Macaca fascicularis: one gene and its partners. The protein of the gene in region 2 interacts with the protein of the main gene of each other region in a pairwise test. Links are inferred from orthologs where the notes say so. Each region holds a gene or a part of one and is shown on either strand. Other genes may lie near its edges. The genes, in order: MPG, HSD17B14, CA8, SNAPC3, PHF1, NEK6 and TBC1D22B.

What was found.
Region 1: the proteins of HSD17B14 (region 2) and MPG interact in binary tests that used the Homo sapiens proteins (3 or more experiments, as listed by UniProt). The two-hybrid records come from large-scale screens. The link is inferred for Macaca fascicularis from reciprocal best matches to the Homo sapiens genes HSD17B14 and MPG.
Region 3: the proteins of HSD17B14 (region 2) and CA8 interact in binary tests that used the Homo sapiens proteins (3 or more experiments, as listed by UniProt). The two-hybrid records come from large-scale screens. The link is inferred for Macaca fascicularis from reciprocal best matches to the Homo sapiens genes HSD17B14 and CA8.
Region 4: the proteins of HSD17B14 (region 2) and SNAPC3 interact in binary tests that used the Homo sapiens proteins (3 or more experiments, as listed by UniProt). The two-hybrid records come from large-scale screens. The link is inferred for Macaca fascicularis from reciprocal best matches to the Homo sapiens genes HSD17B14 and SNAPC3.
Region 5: the proteins of HSD17B14 (region 2) and PHF1 interact in binary tests that used the Homo sapiens proteins (3 or more experiments, as listed by UniProt). The two-hybrid records come from large-scale screens. The link is inferred for Macaca fascicularis from reciprocal best matches to the Homo sapiens genes HSD17B14 and PHF1.
Region 6: the proteins of HSD17B14 (region 2) and NEK6 interact in binary tests that used the Homo sapiens proteins (3 or more experiments, as listed by UniProt). The two-hybrid records come from large-scale screens. The link is inferred for Macaca fascicularis from reciprocal best matches to the Homo sapiens genes HSD17B14 and NEK6.
Region 7: the proteins of HSD17B14 (region 2) and TBC1D22B interact in binary tests that used the Homo sapiens proteins (3 or more experiments, as listed by UniProt). The link is inferred for Macaca fascicularis from reciprocal best matches to the Homo sapiens genes HSD17B14 and TBC1D22B.

Annotation. Positions count from the first base shown.
Region 1 is NC_088394.1:815,201-817,559, forward strand, and holds the end of MPG (DNA-3-methyladenine glycosylase), read left to right. Parts: intron 1-273; exon of another isoform or gene 274-626; intron 627-1,413; coding exon 1,414-1,790; 3' UTR 1,791-1,859; downstream 1,860-2,359. UniProt on the Homo sapiens protein: Hydrolysis of the deoxyribose N-glycosidic bond to excise 3-methyladenine, and 7-methylguanine from the damaged DNA polymer formed by alkylation lesions.
Region 2 is NC_088393.1:56,819,704-56,823,853, forward strand, and holds the start of HSD17B14 (L-fucose dehydrogenase), read right to left. Parts: upstream 2,801-4,150; 5' UTR 2,678-2,800; coding exon 2,590-2,677; intron 2,107-2,589; coding exon 2,068-2,106; intron 1,131-2,067; coding exon 1,048-1,130; intron 1-1,047. Other genes in the region: PLEKHA4 (pleckstrin homology domain-containing family A member 4), read right to left, coding at 3,384-3,646, 4,041-4,150. UniProt on the Homo sapiens protein: Catalyzes the NAD(+)-dependent oxidation of L-fucose, yielding L-fucono-1,5-lactone, which rapidly converts spontaneously to L-fucone-1,4-lactone. Can also act on D-arabinose and L-galactose, with lower catalytic efficiency. Does not use NADPH.
Region 3 is NC_088382.1:70,231,322-70,235,567, reverse strand, and holds the start of CA8 (carbonic anhydrase-related protein), read left to right. Parts: upstream 1-1,446; 5' UTR 1,447-1,699; coding exon 1,700-1,799; intron 1,800-2,964; coding exon 2,965-3,156; intron 3,157-4,246. UniProt on the Homo sapiens protein: Does not have a carbonic anhydrase catalytic activity.
Region 4 is NC_088389.1:83,399,835-83,403,334, reverse strand, and holds part of SNAPC3 (snRNA-activating protein complex subunit 3), read left to right. Parts: intron 1-1,257; coding exon 1,258-1,340; intron 1,341-3,310; coding exon 3,311-3,475; intron 3,476-3,500.
Region 5 is NC_088378.1:138,280,905-138,285,185, reverse strand, and holds the start of PHF1 (PHD finger protein 1), read left to right. Parts: upstream 1-1,481; 5' UTR 1,482-2,343; intron 2,344-3,347; 5' UTR 3,348-3,363; coding exon 3,364-3,522; intron 3,523-3,604; coding exon 3,605-3,686; intron 3,687-3,792; coding exon 3,793-3,888; intron 3,889-4,028; exon of another isoform or gene 4,029-4,214; coding exon of another isoform or gene 4,215-4,218; intron 4,219-4,281. Other genes in the region: kinesin-like protein KIFC1, read left to right, coding at 772-816. UniProt on the Homo sapiens protein: Polycomb group (PcG) that specifically binds histone H3 trimethylated at 'Lys-36' (H3K36me3) and recruits the PRC2 complex. Involved in DNA damage response and is recruited at double-strand breaks (DSBs).
Region 6 is NC_088389.1:19,820,475-19,824,759, forward strand, and holds the start of NEK6 (serine/threonine-protein kinase Nek6), read right to left. Parts: upstream 2,801-4,285; 5' UTR 2,678-2,800; intron 2,459-2,677; exon of another isoform or gene 2,389-2,458; intron 1-2,388. UniProt on the Homo sapiens protein: Protein kinase which plays an important role in mitotic cell cycle progression. Required for chromosome segregation at metaphase-anaphase transition, robust mitotic spindle formation and cytokinesis.
Region 7 is NC_088378.1:134,396,958-134,400,953, reverse strand, and holds the start of TBC1D22B (TBC1 domain family member 22B), read left to right. Parts: upstream 1-1,196; 5' UTR 1,197-1,342; coding exon 1,343-1,398; intron 1,399-1,521; exon of another isoform or gene 1,522-1,653; intron 1,654-3,996. UniProt on the Homo sapiens protein: May act as a GTPase-activating protein for Rab family protein(s).

The DNA of each region.
Region 1 (2,359 bases), on a different chromosome or scaffold from region 2:
ATCGTATTTTTGTCAGGATGTGGGACTTGGATGTGTTGTGTGTGAAGGAGCCAGGGCAGGGGGGTGTGGTGATGAGGGCGGCCAGGCTTTGACTCATTTGCAGGCGGCTCTGTGGGGGCTCAGTGGGACCGTGAGGGGCATGTGTTTTGCACTCACAGGGATGTAGAGGGTCCCGCTCCTTCCTACTGAGGTGGGTCAGGGTGGGCAGCGGGTGCCCCACCTGGTGAGCTGGAAGCAGCGTGGGAACCACAGAATGGACGGGAACTTAAAGGCTTTGCTTGGCCTTGATTTTAGCTTGAAATACTTTGACAACTGGCTGGTCAAGGGTATCTGCTGAGAGGAATGCCGCACTTGCTGGCTTTGCTGGAGGGCATGGCCTCGTCCGCTAGTGCTCGCCCCTGGCTGCTGATGCAGAGGCTCACATGGCCACAGCCCAAGAGTGGGGACTGGCTTGGCCACCTCTGGGCTAAGCCTCTGACTCCCAGGTGGCTGGGAGGGCCAGGGGTGCACAGGTGAGTCACAGCAGGTGTCTCCAGGGAGCTGCCTTGCTGGAGGGCTAGGGCTCCTCTGGCCAGGGTCCAGGTCATCATTGTCCCCAGCCGGGAATCCAAGGGACCTTTCCAAACCTGCAGGGCAGAGGAAATTCAGATATCTGTGCTTGAGTGAGCCTCTGGGCCCGGGAGCCTTCACTTGCTGTCTCTGCTTCTCAAGTGGCCTGGCCTGGTGAGGGAGGGGCTAGGCTGGAGGAAGGATCCCAAGGGAGGTGAGGGGCGCTTCGCCAGCCTTCTCCTGCCCTGCCTGTGCAGGGTGTGGCAGTCCGTCTTTCCACTGAGTCACTGCATGGGCTCTCCCGACATCCGGTGCACACTGACAGCTGCTCTAAGCCAACCCCTAGCCCCCACCACTTGACCAACACAAATGCTGAGTGGGTGAGGCAGAAGGGGAGCCCTGGGGCCTGGCTAGGCCCAAGGTTTCCTGCTTCCTGGCAGAATGATCGCAACCGAGGACTGGCTCTCTGGAGCTTCCTTTGCTGGCCTCATAGCTGCTGCCAGTCACAAGACCAGGGGAAGCCAGGTAGAAAGGAGATGGTATCCGGCATTCATCATGTGTTTTTAACAGTCTGGCTTTGTGAGGGCGGCCACAGTGGTGGAGGCACTGCCTGGTGGTGGCAGCCAGAGGTGCCCACAGGAGGCACACCTCATGGTGCAGGCATGGAGGATGGCAAGGTAGGCAGAGGGGTCTGGACACAGTGAGGTGCAGCCCCCTCCCACCAGGTCAGACCCAGGAGACGGTGCAGGTGCATAGAGCAGGTCCCTGGCCCAGGCAGGAAGGCAGCTGTCTGGATGTGCACTAGGGCAGAGAAGACAGGAGCCTAGGGAGGCTCCACTTCCACATTGTCCATCCATCCCACAGGGGACGGGGCTTGCGTCTTGCTGCGAGCACTGGAGCCCCTGGAAGGTCTGGAGACCATGCGTCAGCTTCGCAGCACCCTCCGGAAAGGCACCGCCAGCCGTGTCCTCAAGGACCGTGAGCTCTGCAGTGGCCCCTCCAAGCTGTGCCAGGCCCTGGCCATCAACAAGAGCTTTGACCAGAGGGACCTGGCACAGGATGAAGCTATATGGCTGGAGCGTGGTCCCTTGGAGCCCAGTGAGCCAGCTGTAGTGACAGCAGCCCGGGTGGGCATTGGCTATGCAGGGGAGTGGGCCCGGAAACCCCTCCGCTTCTATGTCCGGGGCAGCCCCTGGGTCAGTGTGGTCGACAGAGTGGCTGAGCAGGACACACAGGTCTAAGCAAAGGGCCTGCCCAGACAATATTTTTTAATTGTTTAAAAAACAAATAAATGTTTTATTTCTAGAAAATTGCGCTTTAGCCAGAGCTCTTCTAGGTGATCAGCATGTGTCTGGAGCCAGCTCTTCCTCCAGGACACGAGGGCTGGGGGCCCTGAGTACGTAGTGCCAGACCCAGTGTGGATGCTGGGGAGAATCATCAGTGTGGGAGCAGAGAGCCCCCGAGGGTGGGGTCCTGCACAGTGGGCCATGCCTCCACCAGCAAGATGTGCACAGGTGACAGGGCTGCTCCAGCCTAGCAGGGGAGCTCAGGCCCTCGCGCCCCAGATGGTCAGGACCAGGTCACAGCTTCGCTATGAGCCTGTTTGTGGCTTCCATGGACTGTGGTGAGGGCTGGGCCAGGAAAGGCTCATGGCAGCCTGGGAGGAAGAAGTGCATGGCAGACAGAGGTGGTGCTAGGGACAGGGCCACAGGGCACTTCACAAATGGAAGGCTGTCAGAGAGACGGGGACAGGCCACACAAGTGTTTCAGCACATTCTTCAGGGTGGCCACAGAGGGGGGTTCCAGGGAG
Region 2 (4,150 bases):
CTGGTCAGAGCCACACTGCACCCAGGGTTAGGGGGTGGGGCATGGGGGTGACAAGGATTCAGAGAGAGTATAGGGGACAGTTACTAAAGGGGGGCAGATAACAGAGAGATACTGATTAAAAGGAAGAAAGAGGAACCCAGAAATAATGGAGAAAAAAATCAGTTACAGGCCACGTGCAGTGACTCACACCTGTAATCCCAACATTTTGGGAGGCTGAGGTGGGTGGATCACGCGAGGTCAGGAGTTCGAGACCAGCCTGGCCAACATAGTGAAACCCCGTTTCTACTAAAAATACAAAAATTAGCCGGGTGCGGTGGCTCATGCTTGTAATCCCAGCACTTTGGGAGGCCAAGGCAGGCGGATCACCTGAGGTCGGGAGTTCAACACCACCCTGACCAACACAGAAAAACACCATCTCAACTAAAAATACAAAATTAGCCAGGTGTGGTGGAGCATGCCTGTAATCCCAGCTACTCAGGAGGCTGAGAGAGGAGAAACACTTGAACCCGGGAGGCGGAGGTTGCGGTGAGCCGAGATCGCATCATTGCACTCCAGCCTGGGCAACAAGAGCAAAACTCCGTCTCAAAAAAAAAAAAAAAAAAAAAAAATTAGCTGGGCATGGTGGCACACGCCTGTAATCCCAGCTACTCAGGAGGCTGAGGTAGGAGAGTGGCTTGAACCTGGGAGGCAGAGGTTGCAGTGAACCAACATCACGCCACTGCACTCCAGCCTCAGTGACAGTGACACCTCCAAAAAAGAGACAGAAAAATCAGTTACAGTTGACCCACTTTGAGGGACTTATTCCTTTCCACCCACGTGTCAGATGTGCTAAGAGCCTTGGAGAGGTGGGAGAGAAGGAACATGTGACCTGCTCGTCAGTCACAGAAGATCTTGTGTGTGGAGTGACACTGGTTGGAAACCTTTGACGGGTCCAGTGGAGCCAGGAGAGGAAGGAAAAGTAGAGGGAAAGGCACATGCAAATGGCTGGAGGAGAACAAAGAACTGGTCATTAGCGGAGATGGGGGTAGGAATGGGAACTCGGCTCACCTTCATATCATCTTCCTGAGTCACATCACAGAGGATAAAGACAGTTCCAGGGAGCTCCTGCTCCAGGGCCCGGCCCCCAGACTCTGCAGGCAGAAAAGAGCTGGGAGCCTGGAGCCCTGGGCCTGAGGGAGGAGGGTCTGGGGGCCTGCAGATTCCTGGGTCTGAGGGAGGAGGGGCTGGGGGCCTGGACTCCTGGGTCTGAGAGAGCAGGGGCTGGGGGCCTGGACTCCTGGGTCTGAGAGAGCAGGGGCTGGGGGCCTGGACTCCTGGGTCTGAGGGAGGAGGGGCTGGGGGCCTGGACTCCTGGGTCTGAGGGAGGAGGGACAGGGATCTGGACTCCTGGGTCCAAGGTAGGAGGGGCTGGGGCCCTGGATTCCTAGGTCCAAGGGAGGAGGTGCTGGGGCCTGGACTCCTGGGTCTGAGGGAGGAGGTGCTGGGGGCCTGGACTGCTAGGTCTGAGGGAGGAGGGGCTGGGGGCCTGGACTCCTGGGTCTGAGGGAGGAGGAGGGGTCTGGACTCCTGGGTCTGAGGGAGGAGGGGCCGGGGGTCTGGACTCCTGGGTCTGAGGGAGGAGGGACAGGGGTCTGGACTCCTGGGTCTGAGGGAGGAGGGGCCGGGGGTCTGGACTCCTGGGTCTGAGGGAGGAGGGCCTGGTGTCCTGGACTCCTGGGTCTGAGGGAGGAGGGGCTGGGGATCTGGACTCCTGGGTCTGAGGGGGGAGGGACAGGGGTCTGGACTCCTGGGTCTGAGGGAGGAGGGGCTGGGGCTCCTGGACTCCTAGGTCTGAGGGAGGAGGGGCTGGGGGTCTGGACTCCTGGGTCTGAGGGAGGAGGGGCTGGGGGTCTGGACTCCTGGGTCTGAGGGAGGAGGGCTGGGGGTCTGGACTCCTGAGTCTGAGGGAGGAGGGGCTGGGACTCCTGGACCCCTGGACTGAGGGAGGAGGGGCTGGGGCTCCTGGACCCCTGGACTGAGGGAGGAAGGACCAGGGTGAGGGCTGAGGGCTGAGGGACCCTCACTCACCATCCTTGTCGCAGATAACCACTTGGGCCCCGCTGTCCACTGAGAATAGGAAGGCAACACGTTACCCTCCGAGTCTTGGTTAAAGCCTCTGCCGCCCTCTTGTGGCCACCTGGATTGGGGCCGATCTCCGTCTCCCCTCGTGACCCCAGTCTCATGATCACCCACAGGACAGAGGGCAGAGGCCTTGACACATACTCTCCTTGCCTGCCCAGGTTTCTGCTGAGGCTCCTGATCCCCCGTTCGTGGGTTCCAGAGCAAACTCCACAACTGACAGGGCCATTCCCCAAACCACTGGTTTTGCAGCTATACCAACAGACCCAGAGAAAGGGGCCACTGCCTTCGGAGACCCTGCCAGACAGCCCTAGCCTACCGCGCCACACGCTTACTTTAGCCTGCAAATTGGCTTTTATAAGATCAGAATCCCGGCTGCAGTATTGGAGACCCTATTTTCCGCCCCCATCGCCCCGCCCCCATCCTTCCTCTCTCACGCTCCACAGCTCCCAGCAGTCAGACCCGGCTCACCGAAGGCGCGCACGATCCCAGCTCCGATGCCGCGCCCGCCCCCGGTCACAACCACCACCTTCCCGGCATAGCGCGTTCCCGTAGCCATCCGTGTCCACCGGTCTCTCTCTCTCTCTCTCTCTCTGTGTCTCTACTCTGGGCCTTTTTCACCTCCAAAGCCACGTGAGGCCGTCGCATCAAATCCTCAATAGAAGCTGGATCGTGGAAGTCCAGCCTCGGGGGGCGTTGCCAGGAAGGCTAGGGACCTGGAAGTTTGTCCCCAGCCCCTCCTCCCTCAGACACTCCTCTCCTCCCACAGACACAGGAATCCAGGAGCCCCAGTCCCTCCTCCCTCAGACCCAGGAGTCCAGCCTCCCAGCCCCTCCTCCCTCAGACCCAGGAGTCAGGGTCCCAACCCCTCCTCCCTCAGACCCGGGAATCCTGACCCAGGCCCCTCCACTCTCAGACTGAGGGATCAGATTCTCTATCCCTTCCTCCCAGAGACCTGTAAGTCCAAGCACCCTGTCCCTTCCTCTCTCAGGACCCAGGAGTGCACGACTCCGGCTCTGCCCCTCAGAGACCCCAGTGCAACAACCCCAAACAGACAGAAACAAAGCTATTGACTAAAAGTTCAAAGTTTTAATCCAAATTTAGACAGTGTTGAGAAAATCAAACTTTGGCCATAGAAACCATTTCCCTCCCGGACGGGCGATGGGGACCAGACCACGCCCCTGATGCCCTGAGTGGTCCCAGATCTCCGGCGGTACCTCCAGACCACGTGCTCACGCTCCGATTGGCTGCCACGTTTGGGCGGGTTAGAAGCTGGACTGTAGCAGAGTGACTCGCAGAGGCCACGCCCCCTCGTCTTGGGGCAGGACCGGAGGGGCGATCCCGGCATCCCACGTGGGCCCCCAGGGGGCGGGACTTCCTCCACGCCCACTCCCTCGGCGAGAGAACCCTGTGGAACCCGAATTAGCCACCGGGGAAGATCTTGGGGGAGGGGTCTCCTGGCGCGTGGGGTCCGAAGGAGGCAGCGGCACACGGGGAAGAGGGTCTCCCCGGGAGTCCAAATTTCCACCTAGAGAGGATGAGTGGGAGACATAAGAATGGCAAACTTCAGCAGCAGGACTCCGGGTTCCCAGGCCCCTCCTCCCTCAGACCCAAGAGTCCAGGCCCCCAGCCCCTCCTCCCTCAGACCCAGGAGTCTGGACACCCCAGTCCAGACCTCTTTCAGACTCAGATGTCGGTCCTCTCCCCGCCCCCTGACCTCTTCCTCCCCTCCTCCCAAGTGTCCCGGAACCCAGTCCACTCTTGCCTGAGACCTAAAACTCCCAAACTCTGCCCAACTCTTTCCTCGCCAACATAAAAAATTCCCACCGGCCCCTAGACCCCTCCTCTCCAGGACCTGGGATTCCAGGTCTCCAGCTTTCTCCTCCCTAAAACCCAGAAGTTCAACATCCCCAGCCAGTCACCTGTCATCATTCTGTGCCACTGCGACGCCTCAGTAGCCAGGGCTTGGGAGAGGCTGAGAACCCGCTCCCGGTGACCTTCGGAAGTCGGCAAGTAAGGGGTGGTGTTCCTT
Region 3 (4,246 bases), on a different chromosome or scaffold from region 2:
ACCCAGAATGCAGTGAGTCAAGAATGAATTTAGTTTCTCACACTGGTTCAGTACTTTGCACAGTTAAGGAAAAGAGAAATTATATGAATGCTTAAAATCCACGGGTTATCCTCCAAGCTAATGTTGGCCAGTAGCTTTCCATCTATTTGGTTAAACCTTCCAGAAAGTGGCAGAATTGAGTGAGTTGAGGGTTCCCCCAACTTCTTTCCATCTCAGTGTACTTTATGGAGCAGTCTGTAATAGCTTTTTTTTTTTTTTTTTTAAAGGCTATGAGGTGTCTTTTTAAAAAGTGGAGGTGCTTAGCAGGCAGTAAAGGATATGAGCACAGAACCTAAACATTCCCAAACAGATCATTTCCATCCTTATTTGAGGAATCATGCATTCATAAGGTTGGTGTGATTTAGGAACAGGCCATTCAAACTGCAAATAGTCATCTTCATGAATGACCAGAGCATATAAAAAACAAATTGTACTTAAGGTCCTAACCCGAGTTTATTGTGCACATATATCTTCTAAAAATGTGGAGTTAACTTACTTAGGGGTTACTGACCAGGGCTTCCAAAAGGCGCAGGAACAGAGGGCTGAAGTCACTAGACTGGGAAGCACGTTTAAGAGTAACAACGCCACCTCTTTGGATCAGAAGAGTTCCTGTTTGTTATGCAATGTGTGCACTTCATTATTTACACAATTTCACTAGGTGACTGGGAGCTGTGTACACAGCCAGGTGAGCCTGCAGCAGCGCCCCAGACTCTGACACCGAACACCCTCTGTCTACTGCCTTCTGCTAGCCCTGCCTTTGAAATAATACCTTTTTCTGGAGGGGAAAAAAAAAAAAAAAGAAAAAAGGAAATCTCTAAATCATATCTTACTTCTCTAGATTACAACTATTTTCTTTCCTTAAACGTTTTTAGGAATTAATAGAACTTACTTGGAAAAATTTCCATACTCGTTTCCACTATGCTGAACGGACGATTTAAAAAGTAAACACTCAGAAAATACTAAGATTCCGCTGGAGAGCCTCTTTTTACTGTGTTATGGGGTCTCCCAGCCCTCTCCTTTCTCCTACCCATGGCAGCCCATCTCTCTCCTCCAGGACCCCTTCTTTTTGGCATCCTGGAGTACGGATGAAAATAAATAGGTGAGCAGCCTCTGGACCAGGCCAGGAACACAGGGGTCCTGAGGGCTGACCTTGGGAGACTTGCGGGCTTCTGGAAGGAAGGCGCGGGAGGCAGAGCAGGAGTCTCCGCTGCGAGGAAGCACCAGGGGCGACCCCGGGGGAAGGGCGGACGGGGATGCGTCGACATTTCCGTGACTTGGGACTGGTCGCCCAAGGCCCATTCTAACTGTCGGCTCCCTGGCCCCCGCGGCCAAAGAGAGAAGGGGGCGGATCCTCGCGTGCCAGACACGCCCCGGCCGGGTATAAAATTCGCCAGGCGCTCGCTCCCCAGGCCACCGCGGCTCCCTTGTTCCGCTGGGGCCTCCGGACGCGCTCCCCGCGCAGGTCTCTGGAACACTCGGGCCGAACGTAAGCCCGCTTGCACTCACACTGCAGTTCACACCCGCAGGCGCGCTCGCACCCACATTGCCGCTCACGCGCGCTCACACTCCCCCACGCGCGCTCCACTCCCGCTCCAGCCCCGAGCCCCGCGAAGGCGCAGGCACCGCCGCCGAGAGCGCCAAGGGGCCCCACGGCCTTCCCATGGCGGACCTAAGCTTCATCGAAGATACGGTCGCCTTCCCCGAGAAGGAAGAGGATGAGGAGGAAGAGGAGGAGGGTGTGGAGTGGGGCTACGAGGAAGGTAAGCGGCCACGAGTCGGGGTGTCCAGGGTCCCGCGGCGGCGTCAGTGTCTCGCCGAGCGCGGGACTCGAGTCCTGCTGCTGCCGCGCGCTCCGAGCACCTCCACGTCCCCTCTTTCCCACGGGGGTCTCCGCCACTTTCCCACTCCCCTGGCGCGTTTCGGGCGGGAGGCGTTCCAGGGAGGCGTGCTCGCCGCCTGCGTTCTCCCGCCGCCTTCGCTGTGGCCCGGGAGCCTTCTGCAGGGCTGGCGTTCGCACCTGCTGCGGTCCGGAGGGCGGGCTAGCCTCCAAGCCATGGCTGTACCTTTTATGTCTTCTGAGTAGTCAAGAAGAGCAGCGGTACATTTTACTTAACACCTGAGGAAGACAGTGTTAGTGTTAAGAATTCTTTTTTGACTTGAAGACTTTGGGGAGAAAGTGTTTCTGCCTCTGGTCTTTTCGTGAAGCCTGCTAGCAACGCTCGTCTTTCTAAAGTATGTCCTAAATTTCAGACTGAATCGTTGGGTTTGGCGAGAAGCGGTTGACTCTCTGAAAAACCAGAGTTTCCTAGATTTATTAAAGACCTAGGGCTCCTATTAGAGCCAACCAGTAGTGCTGATGTTTACTACATATGTTGAAACCAATATAGAATATATAATTTTAATTATAAAAAATTTGGAAAGAGTATGGGAATATATATGTACATAGATATATACATATGCACACTTTAAAATACTGCACTTGCATTTCTGATAAGGGGCGTCTATTTACTAGCATGAGAGTTAGGGTTTTTGACTGTCACAATGTATGTTTAAAGTTACAGCTATTTCCCAAATACTGAATGTAATTTTGAACTAATAAGCAGAAGAAATTGTTCTGGTATTCTTTTTTTCTAATCACTTAAAGATGACCCACATTTCCTAGAGTCATAAATTATTATGTCTTTGTTGACAAATACAAATAGAATATTTTGTTAGTCCGGGAATTTGTATATGGTATTTGATAATATCAGATCATTCAAATAATGAATGCAAAAACACATAGAATTACCATATTTCATCTGTATAGTGATGGTATCATTACTGTCTTCATAATATCAAGGATTCTAAGTGTTTGGTTTTTACATGTTAAATTTTACTGTAACTTATTTTTTAACCTGTTTTTAATGTATTTCATTTTGTTCTTAGGTGTTGAGTGGGGTCTGGTGTTTCCTGATGCTAATGGGGAATACCAGTCTCCTATTAACCTAAACTCAAGAGAGGCTAGGTATGACCCCTCACTGCTGGATGTCCGCCTCTCCCCAAATTATGTGGTCTGCCGAGACTGTGAAGTCACCAATGATGGACATACCATTCAGGTTATCCTGAAGTCAAAATCAGGTATTTTAGAAAATATGTTTGTGTGGTCTTTTAAACTAGAAGTCAGCATGGAGTTATCGAACTGTGATTTAACTTGCACAATTTAAAAAGTACAACTGACGTATCTCTATGTTCAGGATACCTTTATATTATAATATAAAGCATTTTTGGGAATTACCTTCTGAAACAATTTTGAAAGGATAAAAGGGTGAAATTATGATGATTATCAGTCGGTTGTTCTGCTTCTTACGATGTTACTGGAACAACATTGGTTTGATCACCTTATACCTTGTGAAATATGAGGACAGGTACATGCAGGTGCACTGATCTGCATTTTGTCCAACATTGTTGGTTAGCTTAAATCACTTAGATAATCATAATTCTGTTTTGCTACTTTGTGAAACCAAAAATTAGGATTTATTGACATAATGTGGCATTCAAGGTAAACTTCTCAGGTTAATTTTCTCTACTGTATTAATTTGCTGAAAATAATTTCAACTAATAACAGTAAAAAAAAAAAAAACCCTTTAAACTCAGTCAGAGATTTAAGTGGTAAACAAACCTCTTGCTTTTATTTATTTATTTATTTAAGTTCCATCCCATGAAACCTCCCCTACCCCTTGCAAACCTATTTGAGATGGATCTGAAATGTTCTGTGGAAAAGGTGTTCGGCAATTAACAAGGAAATCAGTTTTTGGCTTTATTGTAGGAAAGAGGAAATCAGATTTTTAAAAAATGTAGCATTAATAGCATGCATTTCATAGTGAATAATAACTATCTTTTTCTTTTGGGAAAAAATAAAGTATGTTGAAATATTAGGATGTACTTGATAAATAGAGACTGTGCTCAAACATTAATTCCAAGTCGATAAAGTTGATGCCTCAAACCATAAAATCTTTAGGTTTGTTATTAATCAAGGCAGCTGTTGATATCCAACTATGGATTTATTTTATTCATTGTAAATGTTTCTAAGCTTTAATTTAGAATCCATGAGATAGTCATAGATTCATGTCGTCTCCCTTGCTGTTGTGAGTTTAGTCAGCATGTGAGCATTGCCCAAAAGAGTTTCTGGGCTTTATATGTACTTAGAGTCAGTTTAAGATGTAAATTT
Region 4 (3,500 bases), on a different chromosome or scaffold from region 2:
TCAGACCCTGCTTACCTCTTTGAGGGTGTAGAAGTATATTAAGTGGCAGATTTTGTATTGTAGCAGCTGGTCATATGACATTAAGTACATTATACATTTTAATCTCCGTAACAACCAATGAGAAAGGTAAAGGCTTTACTCACATTTTACATGGGAGAACAGAGGGTGAGTGAGATTTAGTGACTGGTCCAAGAAGAAACAAGATAGCCAGTCTTACAAGAGTGTCTGATGCGAACACAAGATGATCTGTAAGTGGGGGAATGAAGACAAGAAAGAAAAATGGAAGCTTCAAAGAAGTAAGAGAAAAAAATAAAATATTAGGGTAAAATTATTTTAGTACCTGAAGCATATATCTCCTATACATAAATTGCTTTTGGTCTTCACCACAATCCTGTAAGACATCGTGGCATATACTATTATTCTCATTTCACAGATGAGAAAACAGGTCTGAGAAGTGATTGCTACATACCAGAATCACAAAGCTAGTAAGTGGTAGGTTAAGGAAAAGAACTCAGGTCTTCTGACCCTCATCCAGGGGTCTAAATAGATGGTGAAGGACCAGTTTAACAGAGTGCTTCTCAGCTCTGGTTGCATGTTTTTTTCTAGAGAGCTTTGGAAAAATACTGATCCCCAAAGATTCTTAATTAATGAGTCCGAGTTGACATTTGGTGTTTGGTTTTTTTGTGATTTGATTTTGCAGTCAGGAGTGAGAGCCACTCCTTTGACGGAAGCTGTGGTAGAATGAGTTAAGAAACCTTGAAGGTTCCCACCAGTTGTGGTACAACTATGGTACCTGGGGCAAGATTGCTTGAGTAAAAATAGAAATTCAGATTCTGTCTGCCTAAGAGTTACTGAAAATATAAAGAGAGAATTTTTGTAAAAACATTGCAAATACAAAAAATGCCAGAAAAACATAACTTGATGATCATTGTTATCACTGGGGAAACATTAAAGATAGGACTTTGTTTAATTTTTAGTTCTAGTATCCAACACTACTTACTGCTGTATATTCATATGATAAAATAATGATGTTTATTTGATTTCTAATTGGGTTTCTTTCATGAATCTCGGGAGAATATACACATTTGAATCAAACGTAGTGATTAAAACAGCAGTAGGGTAAAATTGAAAGTAGCAGCAGTTTTTGTAACCTGTATTAGTGTGATTTTATGATACATAAATTTTGAATTAATACTTAGAGCAATTTCATAATTGTTAATAGTTGACTTTCTCTCAATACCATCTGTTTTCTTGTAGGACCTATACAAATCAGCCTTCTTTTATTTTGAAGGAACATTTTATAATGATAAAAGATACCCGGAATGCAGAGATTTGAGCAGGTATAGTTTCCAAAAATCTTCTCAAAGTCCTTCCTATTTCTAGTTATCAAAATAGTGTTATCTCCACAAATCCTATTATTGGCCTATTAAGGACCTTTGCCAAGGAATTATTGATAAATCTTGTCTTGAGCATTACATACATCCAAAAAAAAAATTAGCCAGGTACAGTAGTCCCAGCCACTCCAGAGGCTGCGGCAGGAGAATCTTTTGAGACCAAGAGTTCAAGGCTGTATAGCATGCTATAATCTCACCTGTGAATACCCACTGCTCTCCAGCCTGGGTAATATAGCAAGACTCTGTCTCTAAAAAATATAATAATAAATTAAATCCCATTAACATGCATTATTAGTCTCTGGCCTTTACATATAAGTAATAGTGGTAAATTAACCTGTCACTGTTTTTTCTGCCTATCTAGTATATACTATTGTTTGTGCTAGATGATGGTGATATATATGTTGCTTAAGTACATAATATAGAAAAAATCTATATCTAAGCTCATTTTAATGAGACCATACTTTCATTATCAATGTCTTAGCAATTAGAGTATATAATTATACATATTATTGTTGCCTTTTAAGAAAAAAAAAAAGTGTCGTTCTGTCATCGTACAGTGGCACGATCTCAGCTCTCCCTGCAACCTGTGCCTCCTGGGTCAAGCCATTCTCGTGCCTTAGCCTACCAAGTAGCAGGGACTACAGGTGTGTGTCATCATGCCTGGCTAATTTTTGTATTTTTAGTAGAGACAGGATTTCGACATGTTGGCCAGACTGGTCTTGAACTCCTGGCCTCAAGCCGCCTGCATCAGCCTCCCAAAGTGCTACATTACAGGTGTGAGCCACAATGCCCAGCCTATTATAGCCATTTTTTTTTTTTTTTTTTTTTTTTTTTTTTTTTTTTTGAGACGGAGTCTCACGCTGTTGCCCAGGCTGGAGTGCAGTGGCGCGATCTTGGCTCACTGCAAGCTCCGCCTCCTGGGTTCACACCATTCTCCTGCCTCAGCCTCCTGAGTAGCTAGGACTACAGGCGCCCGCCACCGTGCCTGGCTAATTTTTTGTATTTTTAGTAGAGACGGGGTTTCACTGTGGTCTCGATCTCCTGACCTTGTGATCCGCCCGCCTCGGCCTCCCAAAGTGCTGGGATTACAGGCTTGAGCCACCGCGCCCGGCCTTATTATAGCCATTTTTAATCTGTATTCTAACCCAACAGTTCAAACCTATTGGTTTCAGTGTTTTTGGTTTTTTTTTTTTTTTTTTTTTTTTTTTTTGAGACAGTTTTGCTCTTGTTGCCCAGGCTGAAGTGCAATGGTGTGATTTCGGCTCAATGCAACCTCCGCCTCCCGGGTTAAAGCGATTCTCCTGCCTCAGCCTCCCAAGTAGCTGGGATTACAGGCATGTACCACCACACCCAACTAATTTTGTATTTTTAGCAGAGATGGGGTTTTTCCCCATGTTGGTCAGGCTGGAATCGAACTCCCGACCTCAAGTGATGCGCCCACCTCGGCCTCCCCAAGTGCTGGGATTACAGGTGTGAGCCACCGTGCCCAGCCTTGCATTTCTTTATACTGTAAATAATTGAAGACTTCGATGAGCTTCTGCTTATGTGGGTTATAACTATCAATATTTATGATATTAAACATTGAAACTAAGAAATATTTGAAATATTAAATCTCATTACATACTAACATTTTGTGCAAAATATTTTTCAAAACTCAATGAGTGACGTTGTTACACATTCTGCATTTAAGCTAAAGTGATACACATCATGTAACCTGCAGAAAACTGATCCCTTATGAAAATTCAGCATTCCTAATCTCAACATGTATCAAACATCTTGGTCTTCATCTCAAGATGGCAACTGTCCAGTTAGTTGGGTGAGCTAGGTTAATGTGAATTACTGCAGTCACAAACTGTTTTCTGTAGTTTTTAAGTTTTTGTGGAAAAATGATATATCCTTGCCTTTTCCCCCCTTAGAACTATCATTGAGTGGTCAGAGTCCCATGATAGAGGATATGGAAAGTTTCAGACTGCTAGAATGGAAGATTTCACCTTCAATGACTTGTGTATTAAACTGGGTTTTCCTTACTTATACTGTCATCAGGGAGACTGTGAACATGTCATTGTCATTACTGACATAAGGTAGGTTACTTTTTTTTTTTTTCCT
Region 5 (4,281 bases), on a different chromosome or scaffold from region 2:
CCATTTTGGGCCAATAGGAACCTCCTGGCCGGGTGCGGTGGCTCACGCCTGTAATCCCAACACTTTGGGAGGCCGAGGCGGGTGGATCACGAGCTCAGGAGATGGAGACCATCCTGGCGAACACGGTGAAACCCTGTCTCTACTAAAAATACAAAAAATTAGCCAGGTATGGTGGAGGGCGCCTGTAGTCCCAGCTACTCAGGAGTCTGAGGCAGGAGAATGGCATGAACCTGGGAGGCGGAGCTTGCAGTGAGCATCGAGATCGAGCCACTGCACTCCAGCCTGTGTGACAAAGCAAGACTGTCTCAAAAAAAAAAAAAAAGAACCTCCTTCAGGTTGGCGCCAGTGTCCTTTAGACAGAACTCAAGCAGTCTTTTCAGATTCAACTTGTACATTTCCTCCCCAGATTTCAACTGATCCATTTTCTAAGGAGTCCTAGTTCCTAAATGGGTGTTATTACTCTTTTATCTCGGTTTAAGTATTTTACAGTGAGAGAGGTTGGAGGTCTCTAGTACAGGGTATTGCTGGAAATGAAAGCCTCCTCTCTCTGCTCCTGTATTTTCTTCTGGGGCTTCTATCTCTTCTCAGGCCTTTTAACCTCCTCCAAACCGTGTGCAGAGGAGAACCAACCATAACTGGGACCAGCCTGAACCTGCCTTTGGAGGCCTTATTTCAGTATTTCTGAGGGCAGCCCTAGCATTGGAGGATGGAAGGAGATCTTGGGGAAAATGTATTGGTTACTCTGCAAACTTTTATCCTGTCTACCCCCAGGTGAACCAGTGTGTTATTGGTACTGCCCAGGCCAACAGGAAGTGAAGACGGATCCAGATCTTGTGTTGGGAGTGTGTGTGTGTGTCTGTATCTGTATGTGTATGTATTGGGTGAGGAGTGGGAGGGTTGCTGGAGGGTGCTTTATTGGGTAGAGGGCACCATGTCCCAGGGCTATCAAATAAAGAATAGTTTTTTTTTTTTTTTTAAATAAAGGTTTATCTGCCCAAGAAGGCAGATATTTTCATATCTGTAAAGGTGGGAGCTGTGATCTGTCCCCTCTGCCAAACGTTTGTGTGGGAGGCGGGAGCGGGGGCTGAGGGCTTGGGCTTTTCCTCTCCTTAGCTCTCACCGGTTCTGGACCATGGTCTGGATCATTTTCCCCTCTGCTAATACCCCCTCCCCCGTCCCTCACATCAGGGAGGCGTGCCCTCTAGCTATCCACACCCTCTCCTTGGTCACTAGTTATCTAGATAAGTTTCACCCTTCCGCCGGCCACCCCAGCCCCAGGGAGCAACGTTCCTTTGGTGGGTGTCGGCAAATGGGGACCGGACCCCGGAGTCCAGAGGCGGGGCTAGCGCGCGCTCCCAAACTGCTGGCTCTTTCCTCCCGCCCTTTCCCTGCCTTTCCGTTCGAACGGCTGGGGCTCTGCCCGCTCGTTGCCCATTGGCTGGCTCTCGGTGGCGTCACCGCCTCGGGTCCTTGCCCCCTTCGTCTTTGCGCCAGCCCTGGAAGCACGGGGCGGGACGTACCCGGGAAGCGGCGCGCACGCCCGCCGACTCCCTCTCGCCAACCGCCGACGGCCGCCGCCCCGTGAAGGAGGAGCTCAGTCCTCCCAGGTGCCGCGCGCAGGAGGGGACACGCGTGCGCAAAAGGGCGGCGGGTGGGGCGCGACTTGCCACGGGGAGGGCGGGGCTGGGGCTAACGGCGAGTGGAGGGCGGGGCGCGCGAGGGAGGAGGGCGTGGTGGGGGCATCGAGAAGGGTGAATGGAGGGCGGGGCCGTGAACTGGGGCCGGGGGGCGGGACTTGGAGTGACCATGGGGGGTGGGGCAGTTAACGGATGTGGCATGGGGCGGGGGACCAGTCCGGAGGCGCGCTGCCGGGAGGGGGGATTCCCTCGTGCCCCAAGGGCGAGTCTCAGGTCGGAGGAAGGGGCTGAGGGGATTCCCTCTCCCACCGGGTCCGACTGTTTGCTTCCCAAGCCGTGGAGGGCCTGCCTCTTCCTCGGCACCCTCCAGGCCTGTCGGAGGTGAGGGAGGTGGGGTGAGGTGGTGCCCGCCCCCCCCTCCGGCTCCTCCTTCCCCCCAGTCCTCCCCTCCCACCACCCTCCCCCCCAACCGGTCCGTCCCTCCCCTCCCTCCCCCCCGCCGCCTCCTCCTCCTGCCGCTGCTGCTGCTTTGGCTGCTGCGTCATACGCCCCAGAGCCGCCGGGACGGAGGGGCTGGGCCTGGGGACCCCCCGGCCTCCGCCTGCACAACCCCCCCACGCCCGGACGTGCCCTCTCCGCGCGGGGGACTCGCCTAGGTCTCCTACGTCTGCCCCTGCCCGGCTCCTGGCGGCCCCAGCTGTCACCGGTAAGGAGGCGGCAGGAGGCGCCGGTGGGGGGCAGGGAGCCGGGGGTCGGCGCGGGGCGCGGGCGGGAGAGCCTCGCCGCCTTGGCCTCGGGTCCGAGCTGGGCCGACTCAAGTCCCTTCTCGGACTTGCGGTCCTGGGGAGTGGAGACCAGGACTGGGACACGCCCCCCTCCCGGGGCACTCGGAGAAGTTGTCTAACCCGGGGGCAGGGAGCCCCGAATTTGAGGGTGACCTGACATAACCTGGCACCAGGATGATTGTTCTTAATGAGACACGCAGGCCTGGGGAGACAGCCGTTTCTGCTCTGGAAAACATCTCCAGAAAAGGTCCCAAAACACATCTCTGGGCAACAGGACACCCTAATTATGATACCTCTAAACTGAGTGGTAGCCTTTGCTTCTACAACCGTAATTTCTCCTAAAATTTCAAGGCCAGGATATAATATCCCAGGAGAGCTCTGGAAGCTGGGAAACTAGCAACTAGGTTTGGGGTTGGGGGGAGGGCAGTTACCGTGAGGAGAGCCAGTCACTAGAGTTGAAAGAGGACTCAAGAAGCTGGTGATGGGTGCCTGGTGGTTTCCTATCCAGGTGTCTCAGGGATTTGGAGATGGGGGCACAGATCCTTCATTCTTGACGGCAAAATAGGCAAAGAAAATGGGGAAGTTGGCCGGGCGCGGTGGCTCACGCCTGTAATCCCAACACTTTGGGAAGCTGAGGTGGGTGGATCATGAGGTCAGGAGTTCGAGACCAGTTTGGCCAACATGGCCAACACCCCCTCTCTACTAAAAATACAAAAAATAGCCAGGCGTGGTGGTGGGTAGACCTTTAATCCCACCTACTTGGGAGGCTGAGGCAGGAGAATTGCCTGAACCCAGGAGGTGATGGTTGCAGTGAGCCAAGATTGTCCAGCCTGGGCGACAGAGCAAAACTCCATCTCAGAAAAAAAAAATGGGGAAGCTTTCTGAGCATTCATAACCTTCTCCTCCCCATTTCTTTTCTGGCTAGGCCCCCCCAGGATGCAATGGCGCAGCCCCCCCGGCTGAGCCGCTCTGGTACCTCCTCACTTTGGGACCCAGCTTCTCCTGCTCCCACCTCTGGCCCCAGGCCTCGACTTTGGGAGGGTCAAGATGTGCTGGCCAGATGGACTGATGGGCTGCTATACTTGGGTACCATCAAAAAGGTAAGACCTACTTCTGATCTTTTTCCTATTTCCCTTATCTAATTCTGGTTCCCATTTCATTCTCTTTGCTCACCCATTCCAGGTGGACAGTGCTAGAGAGGTGTGTCTGGTCCAGTTTGAGGATGATTCGCAGTTTCTGGTTCTATGGAAAGACATTAGCCCTGGTAAGACTAGAGACCTGAGATTGCACATCCCATGGAAAACAAACCTGGCTTAGAGGGGCAGAAAGAGACTTAAGGGCAGGCCCCGTGACACTGTGTTCTCTCACAGCTGCCCTCCCTGGGGAGGAACTCCTCTGTTGTGTCTGTCGCTCTGAGACTGTGGTCCCTGGGAACCGGCTGGTCAGCTGTGAGAAGTGTCGCCATGGTGAGAGGGCAGGTCACCTGAATGGTCTAGCTTGCTCTTCCCTCCAGGATGGTCCTTATGTCACCTGTCGTGGCCTTAGTCCCCAAGCCACTGCTCTGGCCAGGCTGCTTAGCCCTATCTTAGTCCTCATCCCCTTTCAGCCCAGGGAGAAGCAGCCATGGAAAGGGGTGGTGTAACCTTTGCAAGCAGAGGATGATTTAACTGCATCCTTTTCTAACCATATGACCTTGGACAAGTCCCTTAACCTCTAGGAGCCTCAGTTCCCTGACTCGTAAAATAAGGATCATGTACCCTCTCATCAAGAACATGGTCAAGGATTAAATGAGATGGGTAAAGACTATTCCTGTCCCAATACCAAGCACACACAGGTATGCAATTAGTGGTCTACTATTA
Region 6 (4,285 bases), on a different chromosome or scaffold from region 2:
CCATCTCAGTGTTGGTGAGTGGACTGGGGGAAATACGGCACCAGACGTAGCACACAGTATATCCTCAATAAATGCGGACATGGCCGGGCATGGTGGCTCATGCCTGTAATTCCAGCACTTTGGGAGGCTGAGTTGGGTGGATCACCTGAGGTCAGGAGTTTGAGACCAGCCTGGTTGGCCAACATGGTCAAACCCCATCTCTACTAAAAATACAAAAATTACCTGGGTGCAGTGGCATGTGCCTGTAATCCCAGCTACTCAGGAGGCTGAGGCAGGAGGATCACTGGAACCCAGGAGGCAGAGGGGGCAGTGAGCTGAGATTGCGCCACTGCACTCCAGCCTGGGCAACAGAGACGTTGTCTCAAAATTAAATAAATAAGTAAAAGTAAATGGGGACCATCTGTCATGGTGCTACTTTAACGAAATTATGCAGGTCACGTCTCTGAACCTCGGTTTCCTCATTTGTGAAATGGGGATAATAAACCCTATCTACGATGAGAAGAAAATGAACGGATGTGTGTTAAAGTACTCAGCACTAGGTCTGTGCACCTCAGCCAGTCAAATACCATATCCCAAGTGCAGTGGAAAGAGGAAAGGCTGTGAGGTTGGGCAGGTGACTTAGGATTCTGCCCCCACCTCCTCTCAGCTGCCCCAGGACACAGGCTTGACCCCCGTGTGCCTCAGTTTCCTTGTGCACAAAACCAAAAGCATTTTCTGTCGCAGAAGAGCACTGGGAGATTCACACACCCTAGAACGGCTCCCAGCACACAGTCCCTTCTGCTCTGTAAATGGGAACCTCCTCCCCATTTCCCTCCTCTGCCCTTGTTCAAACCCACCAGAAATGCCACCAGTTAAAGCCGGGCGCTCCATTTCTGGAAACCCAAACAGCTCTAAATCCAGACCAACCTGGGTCTAAGGCCTTCAGTCTGAGACTTTATTTTGTGGAGATACAAACTACTTTTTAGTCATTTCCGAAGCAGACGGGACGGCAGAGGCTGACAAACCACAGGGACCATTTTAAATCCTGGGCCTTTTCTTCTGGGAAGTTAGGCAAGAACCTTCCCAAATGTTTGCCCATCAGGCTTTCTGCCAGGGAGTGACTCATTCCACGGCTCCCCACAGGCATATTTTATTTGGGGGTGGGGGATGCAGGGAGGGCTTGGCCTTGATGGGGGAAGGAGAGGGGGCATTTCCAGCAAACTCAGAAGGTGTTTTCTTTTTTTCATTTTCAGGACAAAAAAGAAAAAGAATGTGGGTCTTTTTTGCTTCCTTCCAGGTTTTGTTTGCTAAAAGAAGACGTCCAAAGTTCACTCGGTAAGCTCAAACTCGCTGAGTCCGGGGCAGGCGCTTCCAGCCGGCTCTGCGTCCCTTTCAATGAAATTCTTCTTCCATTAACGACACGGTTTTTAAACGTGCCTTCAAGACCTGCCTGCACGTACTGTACACCAAACTAAGGCGACATTTTCCCCCAGAAAAGGCAAGCTGAATTTGGAAAAGTCAGAGCAAGTAGGGAGCTCTGGAGTTTCTAAAGTTTGCCTTAAAACAATTAAGACTTTCAACTGCAAAGATTTTCAACAGTTAGAGAGTGCGCACACACACACAAAAGCCTGTCAGTCAAAACTGCAAGGACAGACCTCGAAAGCTGGTGTCCCAAGCCCGCTGTGATCAATTTGTTACCGTCCTGGGACTCACACTTGGAGCCTAAGCGAGGTATACATAAATCAAAAGATCCATCTACTTAGCAGGGCGGGCAGAGAGGCACCCACATACACAGGCAAGTATAAGGTCAGCCCCCCAGGCCTGGCTGAAAAGAGTCAAGAACAAAGACAGGGGAGCCCGGAGGGTATTTAGGAAAACACCGTCCTCGGGTGCCCGGCCGAGGCCCACCACAGCCTCCGCTCGCCCAGCCTGTGTGTGCAGAGAGGGTCCTGCCAGTGGCCCTGCCACAGCCTGGTTTTGAGACCTTCGCCTCTGTCAGGCCCAGCCAGGCTCTGAGTCTGTCCTCCCGGCCCCTGGTTCACCAGATCAGGCCCAGTCCTGACCCCCAGCCCATGCCAGGCCGATTCTCTCTCCACGGGCTCCCTGGCTTGGGGGCCATCACTGTGCAAAGGCCTGGTGGGCGCAAAGGGGGCCCTCAACCTCAGTAATAAACACGCTCGCGCGGTCCTGCACACTCGTTATACTCACACCCACACAGGCACACTTTCGCCCTCCTGGGCTCACGCATGTGCGTGCACACAAATCACTTTGGAATGCACACACGTGCACACACACACTCCCTGAAACCCGCACGTACTCCCTGCGGCGCCCGGCACACTCCTCCGCCCGTCGTCCCCACTCGGGAAGTGGGTAGCGGGGAGCCATGCCCGCGTCCCCGCACGCACTCACCCCAACAACGCCACCAGACGCTCCGGGGTGCACACGCACACCCGCCGGGGACGCGCACACCCCGGGACACGCGGACACGCCGCCGCCCCCGCCCGCGCCCGCCCGCCCGCCCACCGACACGCTCAGCCCCGCGCGGCCACACGCGCGCCCGCCTCCCGCTCTCCCCCGCGGAGCCCCGGGCGCGCGCCCGCCCTCGGCCCGGCTGGGGGTGACGGCCCAGCCGCCCGGCCCCCGCCCCTCCCCGGCCCGCGGGGCCCCACCGGCCCGGCCCCAGCCCCAGGCTACTCACCGGCGCGCGGGCGGGCTCGGCTGCCGCGGGGGGACCGGTGCGCGGGCCCGCGGGCGGCTAGAGCGGTGCGTCCCACACGAGTTGGCGGCGCCGCGGCCGCACGCCAGTCCGCTCGGTTCCGCCGCCGCGCGCGCGCGCGCCCGCCCCTCCCCGCCGCGGGGCCGCGCCGCCCCCTGCGCTCGTGCGCGCTGCCGCCACGCAAGCTTGAGGGGCGGGGGGCGCCCCGACGGCGTCCTTCCTGGGCCTGGACCCCTCGACTCCGCCAAGTCCTGCGGCCGATCCGCTCGGCAGAGAAACCCCTTCCCCATTTCAGAGATGAGAAGACTGAGGCCCAGAGTCACAGGGCGCAGGCCGGCGTCTCCCCCTCTTCTCTGGCTTTAGACTTACGATGAGGGTCTGCAGGCAGCCAACCCTTGAACTCCTCCCGTGCATCTTCGGATTCCCCATCACCTAGCATTGCTCCTGCCACAGTCCTAGTTATACTGAAATTGGCAAAGTAACAAGCACTTATTTTGCACCAGCTGAATGCAGGCACTGAAGTAGGCTCCAAGAGTATTCCGATGAGGGGAAGGCCCTGTCCCCCGCCCTCAAAGTGCCAGCGACTCTTCATCTGGAGCTCCCACTTCCTGTGGCCCCCAGGGTCCAGCAAGAGCCAATGTGCAGAGGTTTCTGGAAGTGGTAAAAGTCCCCACTAAAGAATGCTGAACGCGCCCTCTAGAAGTCAGAGCCTCCCTGGGACCCAAGCAGCTCAGTTCTCACTTCACCTCCTCCCTGCGCCGAGAGCAGCCGCTCCTGGCTGGGTCGTTTCCACCCCTGCCGCTTCCCCTCCATATTCAAAACTGCGCTGCCCCCCAGGAGGGCTGGAGCTAGGGACACTGACTGCCTGCTGAGGCACAGCACTGTACTGGGCACAGGGTGAATGCGTGTCGGGCTTCTGTTTGCCAAATGAGTGAAGGTGCTTTAACTGGCCGTGATGTGTAATAATGACACCAACTGAGCGTCCACCATGTGTGCCAACGTTACCCTTGTGCCCATTTTACAGATGGGCTTAATGAGGCTTAGAAATGAAATTTCAGGCTGGTTGTGGTGGTTCACACCTGTAATCCCACTACTATGGGAGGCCGAGGTGGGAGGATGCCTTGAGGCCAGGAGTTTGAGGCCAGCCTGGGCAATATAACAAAACCCCATGTCTATTAAAAAAAAATGTAAGAATTTGCTGGGTGTGGTGGTGCCTACCTGCAGTCCCAGCTACTCGAGAGGCTGAGGCGGGAGGATCTCTTGAGGAACTCTTGTCATAGGAGTTAGCAGCTGTAGTGAGCTATGATCGCACCACTGCACTCCAGCCTGGACAACAACAATAAAAAGCAAATTCTTTTGTTCAGAGTCACGCAGATGGTAAGTGGTTGCGCTAGAAAGTGGACGGCAGATTGTCTAATTCTAGTACCTGTGTGTTCCAATTACTAGGCAGCCCTGCCTCAGGAATAGCATAGCCCTGGGCTGCTGGAACAAGAGGGCAGACAAGGAAGCAGCTGGCCCACAGGAGCCGGCCTGGTCTCAGCTCTTGTGGATGAAAATGCATACATCACAAACCAATGGGGGGAAAATGGA
Region 7 (3,996 bases), on a different chromosome or scaffold from region 2:
GAAGTAAAAATAGCCCTCATCATCCAATCCTATAATTCTAAAATTAGGGGACAAAAGAAGCTTGAAAATGGGAGTAATGTAGAAACCGTCGTTGGAGGACATACCCGTCGGGGGTCGGGTCTTTATGTATTCTCCAATATGTGGAAGTACATGTGGTAGCTGTAAATGGAGGGTGGCGGGGGAGTGGGGGACACGCAGCCCACCTCAACAGTCCTTCGATGGGACAAAAACCACTCTGGACTGGTGCCCGCTTTCCCTCTCTCCCCAAATCACCACGGAATACAACCACAGAAACTCAAAAACAGCAAAAAACACCGACAAGACATTCAAAGGATTCAAAATGCTAATATTAAATCTCATTGTCTGGGAAAATTAGATTGAAAATAAATTCAAGGGTGCAAGATTTATAACAGATTAACAAGGGAAATTAAGGATGTTGGTGGGGCCGGGAGGAGATACATCCTTAACTTTGTGATTCACACGATGGAGCTATACTGTGTCCTTCAAAGAAATCGTATTTGGTAATCTGAGTTGGACAGCTATGATAAACCATTTCCTATACACCGTTAGCATAGTCAGAAAGTGAGAGTTATGGATTGACATAGGGATTAGATCATTTGAATTTTTCACCCACAGCACAAGTCCTTCAATCGTTTTCAATAAACAGAGGGAGAGGGAGACTCTGATGAACCGTTGCTCACGTGTTGAGCAGTTAGCAATCCCGGGCTATCGGGTCCCTGCTGACCTTCAGAAAAACGAATGGACATCTAAACGGAACGAGGAAGGGAGGGTAATAACCAGAGTGTCATTGAGTTGAGAGATGTTAAAAATGGGCCACAACAAACACATGGGCCTTTACTTTTAGGTCAAATATTCCTATATATAAATACATAGTATGCTCTCTCTTGCCAAAAAATATTAGACTCAGGAACTTCATTCCTCACGAAGAAGATAATCCCCTCTCTTCCTTCCCATAGGTCCCTTACTTTACCTGCTTCTTCCCTCTTGCGGGTTAGGAACTTTGAGCCCCACCTCTCTGCTCGTCCAAGCTCCGCCTTCCCCGTCCACCTGTGTGCCCAGACCCTGACGTTACCCGTTGGCTTCAGCGGCCTGCAGGATTCCGGCTCCCGATTGGTCGGCCCGTCCACGGCTTGCGCAGCCCACCAATGGCAGCGGTGCTGGGTGGAGGGGTGCCCACATCCAAGATGGCGTCCCTAGGAGCTGGGAGCGGGTGACCGGCGGCGGGGAAGCGGCCTGGGTTGGCCCTCAGATTGCGGGGTCTGGGGGCATCTCGCCAGGCAACCCCTTGGCCCGCCTACAAGGCCTTCCCCCTGCCAGAGCAATGGCCGCTGACAACAGCAAGCAGTTTTGGAAGAGGAGCGCTAAGCTGCCGGGGAGGTGAGCCCAGGACGCTGAGAGGGAGAGGGTATTGGACCAAACCCTTCCAGATCCTAATCCCTAAATCCCGCGGCCCTGGGGCGCCACCGAGGCCGGAAGACTGGTTTGGGGCAGCTGTCAGGCAGAGGAGCGAACAGCGAGCTTTGGGGACGGCTGGATGTGGGTGTAGACCGGGGTCTGGGGGCGGAGGTTTCTGGAGGGGTGACCTCAGCGAGAAGGTGGCCGAAGATTGGGCGTAAAGGGGAGTGGAGTTGGGTGAGTAGTCAGTGTCGGCCCTGGTCTCGGGGGTTCCTCCCCAGAGCTGCTTCCCACTCTAATTAGGACTCCCTCTCAGGGGTCTCCACCACGCACAGGTGGTTGGTCGCTCGAGGATGGCTTGCTCCCCCAGCTCGGCACTTACCCGAAGGGTTCTTGTGGGAGTTTGGGGTCGCCTGCCGAGAGGGTTAGGCAGGAAAAGTGAGGACAATTCTCAACTCCGACCTTACTTTATCTTGAGTTGGCCTTTCCCACTGGGAATTATTACAAGGCGACCACAGAATCAGGTTATTCCTTTGGCATTTTCTAAGGATTTGTCCAACCCCAAGTGACTTCTTCCTCCCCTGTATTGTAATGCACTTCTTGTGCAAATGCACTAAATTCTTTCATTCTTCAGTTGTTTAGCTGGAGAGCAGACCTCCTAAGACTACTCCCACCCTCTTTGTGGTGTATGTTGAGACTTTTGGCAAATTATCCATTCATCAGTCTACTGTTGGTTTACTGTTTCAGTTTATTTTGGGCAAAGTCCTGAGAAGTATAAGGAAGAGTGTGTATTTCAGTCGTGAATCTAAGATTTCTGCCAGCCACAGTCTACTTGGTGATGAAATTCATGTTTGGTTGTGCCCCACGTGCTACCTTTTCTAATGGATTCAGGTTTTTTCTTTCTGGGATGATCTTTTGAACTCGTGACTTTTTTTTTTTTTTTTTTAAGCAAGAGGGAGATGAGGGTCAATAGTGGCTAAGTTAGAGCCTTACTTTTTTTTTTTCCCCCCAATGAAATAGAAATAAGGTCTGACTATGTTTGGGCTGGTCTGTAACTCCTCGCCTCAAGTGATCCTCTTGCCTTGGCCTCCCAAAGTGTTGGGATTGTGGGCGTTAGCCACCATGCCCCACCAAGAGTCTTGTTTTATTAAGGATCCTAGTAGACATATGGAAAATAGGTGGAAATCAGCTTTTAGTAATACTTATTAAATAATAGAAAGATAACTTCAGATTAAAGTGCTGCGGACTTGCGGTGTTGATATAACTGTTAAAGATGTTCTGTGTTTTTAGGTAAGCACCACTTCCTGCCAACTGATTCCTTTTCCTTCCTGGTTTAGTGAGCTCTCTAGTTGTGCTAACTGCTATTCTCCGGGGTTTTCCATAGTGAGATCATTAAATTTTGACATCCTAAGATTATAATCAGAATCAATAGGAAGACAGTTGTATCAGGAAGCAGTGCAAGAGATGTGCTTCTGTGCCTTCTGACTGGTGGTTGCTATTAACAATCTTTTTTTCCTGTATTTCCTGTATTTGACTATAAGAACAGTCAACTTTTTTAAAGCACTACTTTTCTGAGATAGGAAGAGAAGTCTTTTCAGTTTCTTCAAGCTTCTGGATTCCCTTTTCATTTCGAAGAATATAGAGAAATAGAGAACTTTTGAGTTCAGAAAGACTTGGGTTACTATTTGGGCTCTCCTGTGTGTGTGACCAAGACAAATAATCTATCTAGGCCTCAGTTTCCTTATCTATGAAATGAGAAATAAAAATACCTTCCTCAGAGTTACTGTGGGGACTAAGTGAAATACCCTATTTGTAAAGAACCTAGGACAGTGTTTATTTAGCACATTATAGTTGCTCAGAAGACAGTAGTTATTAATATTACTGTCATTATTAGAGCAAGTAAACATTTAAAAGAATGTTACTCAGATCCTTACCCCAGCTCATTGTCTTCCTTGTTTGTTTTAAGGTATTCAAATATTGTCACAATTCATAATAATTTTTAGTACCTTACTTGGTAAAGAGAAATATTTTTCAGCTGTGTGCTTTTAGCAGTAAAGCCCACAAGCCTCTGGTCGTGGGAGAAAACTAAGGTTCTTTTAGATAGAAAGGTACTTTGATTTAAAGAAAATATTAGAGCATTTTCTCAAGAATAGAACTTTTGCATCTGTACTCTTTCGGTCTTAGGGAAGAAAAACTTTCTCCTGGGTGGGGAAATGACACAAATGACTGTACTAGACGCATGGCAACTTGGAAATGAAACTGCTTTACTCTTCATTGCAAATTGAAAGGTGAAAAATCAAAGCGATGACAAGATTCTTTCTGTCTGATCATGATCCAACAACCTTAGTGACAACAAATAAAAATTTTATTACATAAAATAACAAGTTACAAATGAATGAAACGTTCTTTTTAAAAATAACAGCTTTATTGAGATATTAATATACCATGAAATTCATTCTTTTAAAGTGTACATTTCAGTGGTATTTAGTATATTCATTTATAGTACAGATGGTTTTGTGCAACTATCGCCACTAATTTCAAAACATTTTCATCATCCCGAAAAGAAACTACATACCTGTT